Kluyveromyces lactis: one gene and its partners. The protein of the gene in region 3 purifies or fractionates together with the protein of the main gene of each other region. This does not show direct contact. Links are inferred from orthologs where the notes say so. Each region holds a gene or a part of one and is shown on either strand. Other genes may lie near its edges. The genes, in order: SEC65, LHP1 and SRP68.

Evidence for each region.
Region 1: the proteins of SRP68 (region 3) and SEC65 purify together in Saccharomyces cerevisiae (affinity purification with mass spectrometry; 5 studies listed by BioGRID, with this or other methods). This does not show direct contact. The link is inferred for Kluyveromyces lactis from reciprocal best matches to the Saccharomyces cerevisiae genes SRP68 and SEC65.
Region 2: the proteins of SRP68 (region 3) and LHP1 purify together in Saccharomyces cerevisiae (affinity purification with mass spectrometry; 3 studies listed by BioGRID). This does not show direct contact. The link is inferred for Kluyveromyces lactis from reciprocal best matches to the Saccharomyces cerevisiae genes SRP68 and LHP1.

What each region holds. Positions count from the first base shown.
Region 1 is NC_006040.1:164,781-167,488, forward strand, and holds SEC65 (RNA-binding signal recognition particle subunit SEC65), read right to left. Parts: upstream 1,350-2,708; coding exon 537-1,349; downstream 1-536. Other genes in the region: orotate phosphoribosyltransferase URA5, read left to right, coding at 1-424; RRN9 (Rrn9p), read left to right, coding at 1,635-2,708. UniProt on the Saccharomyces cerevisiae protein: Signal-recognition-particle (SRP) assembly has a crucial role in targeting secretory proteins to the rough endoplasmic reticulum (ER) membrane.
Region 2 is NC_006041.1:128,645-131,336, reverse strand, and holds LHP1 (tRNA maturation protein LHP1), read right to left. Parts: upstream 1,409-2,692; coding exon 608-1,408; downstream 1-607. Other genes in the region: KNH1 (Knh1p), read left to right, coding at 1-343; PSY3 (Psy3p), read right to left, coding at 1,779-2,405.
Region 3 is NC_006040.1:1,096,442-1,100,165, forward strand, and holds SRP68 (signal recognition particle subunit SRP68), read left to right. Parts: upstream 1-1,342; coding exon 1,343-3,097; downstream 3,098-3,724. Other genes in the region: UDP-galactose transporter HUT1, read right to left, coding at 1-853; KLLA0_D12892g (uncharacterized protein), read left to right, coding at 3,510-3,724. UniProt on the Saccharomyces cerevisiae protein: Component of the signal recognition particle (SRP) complex, a ribonucleoprotein complex that mediates the cotranslational targeting of secretory and membrane proteins to the endoplasmic reticulum (ER).

The DNA of each region.
Region 1 (2,708 bases), about 930 kb from region 3:
TGTGAAGTTAGCTGAAATCGGTGGTTCGAAATTCCAAGATGTGAAGTATGCCTTCAACAGAAAGGAAGCCAAGGACCATGGTGAAGGTGGTAATATCGTTGGTGCTGCACTAAAGGACCAAAAAATCTTGATCATCGACGATGTCATGACTGCAGGAACTGCAATCAACGAAGCGTTTGAGATCATTGCCAAGGAAGAAGGCAAAGTTGTTGGATCCATTATCGCATTAGACAGACAAGAGGTGGTTAACACCGAAGACACCGAAGTTCTAAGTGCTACTCAATCTGTTTCTAAGAGATATGACATCCCAGTTTTAAGTATTGTCAACCTGTCAAACATTATCAGCTACTTGGATGGCAGAATCTCTGTGGAAGAAAGGGAAAAGATGGAACAATACCGTCAAACTTATGGTGCATCTGCATAATATCACCCTCGAATCTATCTTAACATATATAATTATACATATTTAAAACAGACACTGGGAAACGCCGCTTCTTGTTTAGATATTTGGTGATAAAAATGACAGAAGTATTCCATTAACGTCTTACTACACGGAACTTGTTCTTTGGCATCTTCATTTGTTTCTCTGGTGCAGATACCTGCTGCGCGGGAGGCGGAGGTGGAGGAGCATCATATAGCGATTTTGTCATTGGATGCTGTGTCAAGTATGGACTATGCAATGGCACGATGTCATTCATTGCTGTTCCCTTCAATAAAGGAATCTTCTTCGGTTCTACGTTATCAAAATCTGGTCCATATGGAAGCTGTTTTACACTCTCAAGTGTTGTAGGATGGCTCTTCAAGTACTCTCCAATACGCTTCATCAATACTCGCTTGTTATCGATTCCACTCACAAATGGTTTTCCATTTTCCTTGATCAACACACGTACTCTTCCCGGATTACCAAAATCTTGTGGATGTGTCTTTGATCCTTCGAATATTGATGGAATTCCAAGCGATCTGGCAGCATCTGCTATCGTCTTGGCCAATGGGTTCTCCACACAAAGATCTTTTGGAGCACGTCTCCCTTGGGCATGCGTCCTTCTAGTGTCGAAATAACATGGATACAACATCTGGAATTCTTTGATCTCATCCAGCTCTTCTTTAGTCAAAGAATGACTCTTTTCCACTTGACCGGTGGTGCTATTAACAAAATTGAACCCACTACCGCTGCCTGCATTACCAGAAATTGCAGCAGAATATGCTTCTTCTTCTTGATCTTGCGATCTAACCACAGTGGGTACGATCTTTGGTGCCACTGGTGTCTTCATCGTGGAGTCCAATTCTGCGAGATCCATCTCTAAATTATCGATATCATCGATATCATCGATCTCTTCAATCACAGGCATTGTGTGTAAATATCCCTAACAAATACTGTAGCCTTAACTATTGCTTGGTTGATGCTGCTTTGTTTCCAACTCTTTGAAGTGGTCGTTCTTATCCACTGTTTAAAGCTCATCAAAAATTTTCAATTGAATTTAAAGGTTTAGTAGGGATAGAGAACTAAAGAGGATCAACTAACATGAATCCAAACAGCTACTAATGATTGAGTTCATAGCAATTGTAGCCGCTGGACTTCAAGTGGGTAGCTAACATTGTACCGGTCCCTTTTTATTCGGTTTTGTTTCGGTAAAATGGACTCACAACTGGCCCGTGATGCCATAGATCTGTTAGCAACGCTAGATCAAGAACAAAGGAATGATCTTTCAGTACATTTATACTCTGCGCATCTATTGAAACACTTATTGTATAGAGCGAATAAGGATGAGAAGAACATATTACGTACCGAGACGTTTGTGAAGACCGTCTTGAAAGAAGATTGGACCGCGTGGCCGAGCAGAAATTCAATAATCGACCCCAATACATCCGATATATATGAAGATCAAGCAGGGTGTCTCGCCTCTGAAAATATAGGCGGTATTCATAGGAAAGGGGTACAACCGGGTCAATTGGACCAGTCATCGTTGAACCATGCGACAGAGATGTTATATGGAGAACTCAATGCGTTCTGGCAGCAGAAACTCAAAGAGAGTTCGGTAATGGGCCAACAAACTGAAAATAAGACCGCCGATGAGGGTCAGATTGAGGATCCAAATACAATTGTCGATGAAAATGACAGTGAGATACTTGGCGTAAATGATACGGCGCTGGACGTCAACGAAATGGATTTACCAGATGATATATTTCAAAACCTACTGTTCAAGGTGGATAGGTTTATTGGATCTTTGCATTTGGATGCAGCTGAGACCAACACTGTCACGTTATCGACAATTCCTAGTGAGCCTGAGATCAAATTAAAGAGTACCACCATAGGCAATACTGAAGCAGTGACGACCAGAAGTAAAGAAAAGTACGATTACAAGGACATAATTGTGCACGGCTGTGAGACTGGGGAAGATATGTCTCGACAATATTTGCGGGCCATTGATTTATTTCAAGATCTGCCGAAGACTATGGACAAATCGCAGTTTGTACTCCCGGATGCATACTTGGACAGGTTCTCTCAGGTGAACCTGGGCAACTCGGACTCGGAACAATCAGATGATGATCCACAAGATCATACAAAGCTCGAAGAGAACATTAAGAAGAAAGAAAACAGTGGTAAGAAAGACGTGAAATCGTTCGTTGATATGAAACGAATTATCAAGGATCGTAATAATGATCCTGTAGTGAGAAGAGAGACAAGGCTCCTACTTAGGAAGGATGAG
Region 2 (2,692 bases), on a different chromosome or scaffold from region 3:
ATCTCTTGATGCGGCTTCAGTAGATACAAGATCTTTCACTATTCCATATACCAAACAAACGGGTATTTCCAGATTTGCTCCAATGCAACAACAACCGGGTTCTACTGTAACTTTGGAGACTTGGTCAAGAAGATACGCGACAAGTGCGGTGTCTTACTTCCCTTCGCTGATCAATTCTTTGCAGCAAAAAACCACCATCACCCCAGGTTGGTCATACACAAGACCTTCAGATTACAACTATGCAACCCCTGCACCATTCCCCACCGAGAATGGTGGATGGTACGATCCTAAAGACAGACAGACTATGAGTGTTAGGAAATTGAATGTGAAGAGAGCTATTTGAATGATAAGAATCGATACAAGTGACAATTTCCATTCTAGTCTTTAAACAAAAAACATTTATGGGTAAACTTTATATTTTTCTTCTTAAAAACTTAATATATGTCATTATTTATCATATATAAGTGTGTGTATTTATTATTTCGTTAAACCTCTTTTCTTGGAGATTCCATTGGTATCCATCCTCTTACAATTTACTGGCAAAGAGTTCGATTGACACCGGAAAAAAGAGCTTTAGAATAACAATATGAGAATAGCCCGGACTGCCTTAAGCAGTTTCTGTGGCACTTTCTTCCGATTTCTTCTCAGTTGGAGCATTGGCATCTCCTTCACTGAGCTTTGATTCAGAACTGGCTTCAGGAGTTTCGTCATTAGTCTTTGGGATGTTCTTCCTGTAACCAGTTAATGATCTTGTCTTTTGACCAGAACCACCGAAATTCTTTGATCTAGTTGCATTCTTGGCGAGGCTGTATTGCTTCTTAGTGACAACTTCCAATGGTTGTCCCTGATATGAGAAATCGGTCTTGTGTTCCTCAAAGAATTTGACACATTCCTCCTTCGTCTTGAATTCGACTTCGACAACACCGTTGAAGTATTTCTTATGGTCCTTCTTCAAACGAACTTGGTTAACAGTGGTGAACCCATTGAAGAACTTCTCTAGTTCTTCTTGTAATTCTAGGAATTTATCTTTATCTTCATTTTCGATCTTCTTAAAGTTCATAAACACTAACACTCTTTCGTTCCTGTCCTTAAAATCAACTGTCTCTAATGGACTCTTTCTACGCACATTTTCACCATCAGCGCTAACCTCTAGAATCGTCGAGTCCTTTAAACAATCAACAACTTTGTCGACAGGTCTATACTTTTTCATTCTGTTGAAAGACGCAAGTGTCGTAATTGGAATCCATCCGTCATTCTGTTCGCATAGAGAGCGTAAAAATTTATCGTAGGGCAAATTATATTCACTGAAGTAGAATTCCACTTGTTTGCGGCAAGCCTGAGACACCTCAGGAGTGAAATCGATTGGGGCATAAGACCCACGACGACGGATCTCTTGGGAAAATGACATTGTTTCCAGTATAACTTGTTATGAGAAGTGCGATTCGATTCTTTACGGCTATGATCCAAACAATCCAATAGACAGCTAGATAAATGACCACAAACAATAGGGAAAAAGCCTTAAACTTTAACCCAGTTCTGAAAGGAAATGGAAGCTACAATGCACAAAGACAAGGATGTTAACAGTATCGATTAGAACCTGTATCATAACTTCAATTGGAATGTCATTTCGTAATTCTTTAACGTTTTTCCATGTTCAAAAATGCATGAAAAAAAAAAAAAATTGTTTGGTGTAGACAGAACCATGTCCTTTTGCCATGCAGAGATGAGAAGATCACATAGTAGGGCAACACGGTTTCTAGCACAGCGTTTTGTAGAGCTTATAGGATAATGTCGGATTCATTGAAATAGGGTAACAGACGGTCACCACTTGCACATTTTGTTGATTGATGTTTAAACGTGCTTTCTATACCACCATGGAACGATAAGGGCAAACTTGTAGAGATAACGACAGAACCGAAAGTCTGTTGTACGAGTCTAATTGATCTGTTGAGCAACTTGGCGTCGAATTTGGGGTCCATGGATAAGTGCGACAAATTATCAATGAGGACCCATGCCAACTGCTTCGATGTAGACGTTTCCGAATTCTGCGGTTGGCATCTAGACAATGCGGTCACGGGATCTGTACATAATTGAGACATAAATTGAATAAAGGAATCGAACTGAAGCATGGAAAGATTAGTCTGTTGGAATTCCGGGTATGTTTCGAGCAAGTCATTGTCGTTGTGGTCGTTCCGGGGCATCGAAGAAATGTTCAAGATTAGTCCGTTCCCCTCACATTGTTCGCGCACTGTGTTCACTATGGTTCTTGTTTTACCGTTTCCTCGCAGAGATTCCTGTACGACGTGAATCCTGGTACATTTCTTACCGTTGACTTCGCATGTATACTGGTATGGACTTGTAAATTGGTCCAAAGAGTACACTTTGCACCTTGACACAACGTTCATTTAATTTTCGCTACGTCGTTTGCTACTTGAACACAGATTTCAAATGCCCTCAATTGTTATCCAGGTGCTCTGTTCCTTTATTTGATGGTGATGATTTCACTAAATACATGGATCATATCCAGGATTATTTAGTTTGCAAATTCACAGTTCTAACTGGATCTGTCTGGTTTTAACAGATAATTGATTGCTGCCGATTCCGCTATCACGAAACTTTCTGGGTATGTTCGTTCCAACTGTTGTTACAATGTTGAGTTTCATCTCGTTCTCGTTCTTTTTTTTAAAAAATC
Region 3 (3,724 bases):
TCTTTCTAGTCACGGTGACCATTACTAACACCAACGATCCGTACTGTTCCAAAGTGTAGAAGATAAAGCATTGACCGATTGCGCCGCAACAGGCGTATGCCAGAAGATAACGACTAATTTCTGGATCCGCATGTAACATCTTCAAACCTTTTGCCAATTGTTGTCTATCAACTAGAACCATATATATTACGTTCCATACAATTAGGAAGAAGTTTAATGCAAACATGAGATGAGCACCAGTGATCTTATAAGTGGCCTTCTGGAATAGCTTATCCTGTTTAGCGTTGGTTAATCCATCAAGGAAAAGACTGCTACCCAGCAGCACAAAACCAATCAACGAAGAAGATGAAGAACTCTCAGAAACGTCATTCTCAGTCATAGAAGGTTTATGTCCATCCAAAGTGAATATTGTTATCCCAACCGTTACCAACAGTACCACTAATTTCTTACTTCTTGGAATTGGTGTACGGTACACAATCAAATGGACCATCAGCACCGGTAAAAGTTTGCATGACTTTGCCAACATATAAGTCAAGAAATCCACATAGCTTAACGAGTAAGCAGCTAACGGAGCAGAAATTGCCTGGGATAATGAAATAATCGCCATATCCCTTGTATGACTGGTCCAAAATTTCGATAGAGAAAGCACAGGTTTCTGCCATTTTATATAGATTAACCCACAAATCATAGCAATTGTTGCCTGTACCAATGCGACTATGTATGGTACTTGAAACGTACAGCCAGAGTTCGGCCATACTCTAGTGTTCAAAGGCTCTTGCAATAAACCCCATGTCAAAAACGAACAGTAGATTCCTCCTACCGCGAAAACATGTTTCAATATATGACGTCCCATTACCAACAATGTAACACCTTATAAGCTTGCCAGATACGTTTGTTGGGAACGAACTTGCTCTTTTTACCAGATATATCTCTTGTTTGACACCTTTTGTTATTTCAAGTAGAAATGATTCAAGATCGTTTCTATCACAGTGACAAATTTCAAACGGATATTGAACAGGGAAATCTGCCTCGAATTGTGTCTTAACACGGCTTATAAGATAAATAGTAAGCAGCAGTATCTGATATGGAAAGTCAGGTACCAATTGAGCAAGCGATGCATATACTGTTCTCTATTTTGTTCAGATCTGGCAACGATTTCCTCATCTTTCACCATAGTTAAGCTGGAAAAATTTTTTTATTTGAAATTCGTAATCGATCTAAAGCTACTTTGAATAATGTTGAACCATGACTATTTGAGGTCTCCACCAAGTTTAAAGGGTGTATTGGTTGACTTATTCCTTTCACAAGACTTCATCAATTGACTTTAAGCTATTAAGGAACAATGGTATACTCTCCTTTGGGTGTTACCTATGGGTTCAGATCCAATTTATTGTTAGAATCTTTTGCAGATTACCATAAATATCATAAAAAGGTTAACCATAAGTTACAACAATTGAGAGGCCGTTTAAAGTTGATTTCCAAGGATTCTAAGAACTATAAGGGCCAGGAGAAACTTGATAAGATTACGCATGAGGATTACAGTAAGAATCGGTTGTATGGATTCTTAATGCTTTTGTTAGCAGAAAGAGATGTGGCTTACGTAGAAAGTATCAAGGCCACAGGTAGAAGCAGGGGCCACTTGAGGAGTCTTGAATTGAAACTCATGCGTACCAGGATAAAGAAGGCCAATAGGTACTGTGACAGACTTATTTCATTGTCTCAAGGTGAGGACAAGTGGCAGATCCAAGCAGAAATAATGATATATGAAAAGTTAATCCGGACCGAATATGAGCTGTACGGTAAGAAACAGGTCAAATTCTCCGATGCAGAGAAGATTTCTACCCATCTAGCATTAGCACTAGCTGCGGTCAACTTTTTAGTTGATTCAAAGCTATTGAAGGAAGGCGTGGCCGATGCAGTGAAGAGCAAGTACCTGTACATTTTCAAAGAGAAGGCCAATGCCTTTTCTGTCAGAGATCAACAAACCTATATTTCAAGAGTCATACAGGCTAACCCGGAAGACCAACTTTTGCAATTGTTACAATCTCATGGGTTCTCTTTCTCGGTTCCCGAAACTGACGCTTCAAAGAGTCAATCCCGTGAGATTTCATGGAGATCATATTCCGCAACGATAGAAGACAGTAAAGTGTTTGAAGTGTACAGTGAATTGGCTGAATTGCACAACTCCAGCAAGCTTTCCAATTTGAACGATAAACTATTTAAGTGGAACAGAGCCATTGATTTACAAAAAGAATATATGACGACATGCTCTGAAGATGATACTGACGAAAACAATCAAATTCTCTTGACTTATCTACAATACAATGCCATGGTAACCGGTGTAGAAAGAGACAGCAGCTTGTTCGAGAGTCTTTTGAAGCAATGGGAAAGATTTGACAATAAGTCTTTTACGAGCAAGTTAAACAAGTACAAAGAAGTGGACCATATTATCAAGAACTTAAAGAGTTTGTTAAGTCAGATTATGGATCTACCGGGTGTTTACTCAGACAGCGACCTAACAAACCAAGTGTTCCTCTTGAAGACTTACTATGAAACTTGTTTCACTTCCAAACTGCTAGCAAACATATATCAATCGAAGAAGAAATACGTGGAATCACTCGCCCTATATGTCGACTGCTTACAAAGAATTGAAAACGCCGAAGAATCCCTGATAAACTGGGATGAAATCTATCTACCATCCCAGCTACTCTCGAAGGGGAAGATCACAGACTTGAAGAAATACATCACTACCGGATGGAGATCTGTTGTTGCCCTGGCAGAGCACAAGAAATCTATGGAAAAGAACAAGAAAACCCGTCAATTCGAACCATCTCTAGTCGAGATTTTGGAAAGCAAAGTGAGACCAAGTGACGTATCCTTGGATAACTTGTACCCACTCGCACCAAGACTTCTTCCAATTCCTCCAAAACCTTTCCTCTACGACTTGGCTTACAACTACTTCAACATACCAGATTCTACCTCTGTTACAGAAGAGTCGGTATCTTCAACTACTGCTGAGGCAAACCAAGACGATGAACCCGTCAAGGAATCGAAAGCACCATCCAAGAAAGGTTTATTCGGTCTTTTCAGAGGTTAATTATACCACAACTCCCATCCAAGACGATTATAGTCAACATAGTTAGTATTTTTGTAAAATATATACCGTCCCAACATCAAGATAAGATAGCTTGGAGATAATTACCGAAGGGAGCCTAGTTCATGACATCGGTTCAGAACTGGAGCAACAACAGTAACGCTGATGGAGGAGGAGGTAACCAAAAGTGAGTTTTATTCATGGTATCTTCCTTCATTTAATCGTGCTTATAATGAACTTTTCATGAGGAAAGACTTCAGAAATTGAAACTTTATCTATATAACATTCACCCTAAAAAGATGGAAGAAATACAGGTTACTCAGGCAATAGAGCCAGGCAATAAATCGTATATTAGAGCTTTATCAGTGGTGTTTAATTAAGGACAACATTTACTCTTATCCTAGGCAGTTTTAGGATGACACTCCGAAGTTGTATTGATGATCTATTTCACAAGCAGTACGTTTGTTGGGTGTGTTTAGATACGGAGTGTGAGAACGACGACTGGATCGTACACCAATGCGGTTGTAACTTACAGGTACACAGAAAATGTCTAATAGGATGGATATTCGATCTAAATAAGTCGAAGCTAGGGAGTTACTATACTTATGATACATACAAGATTAATTCATC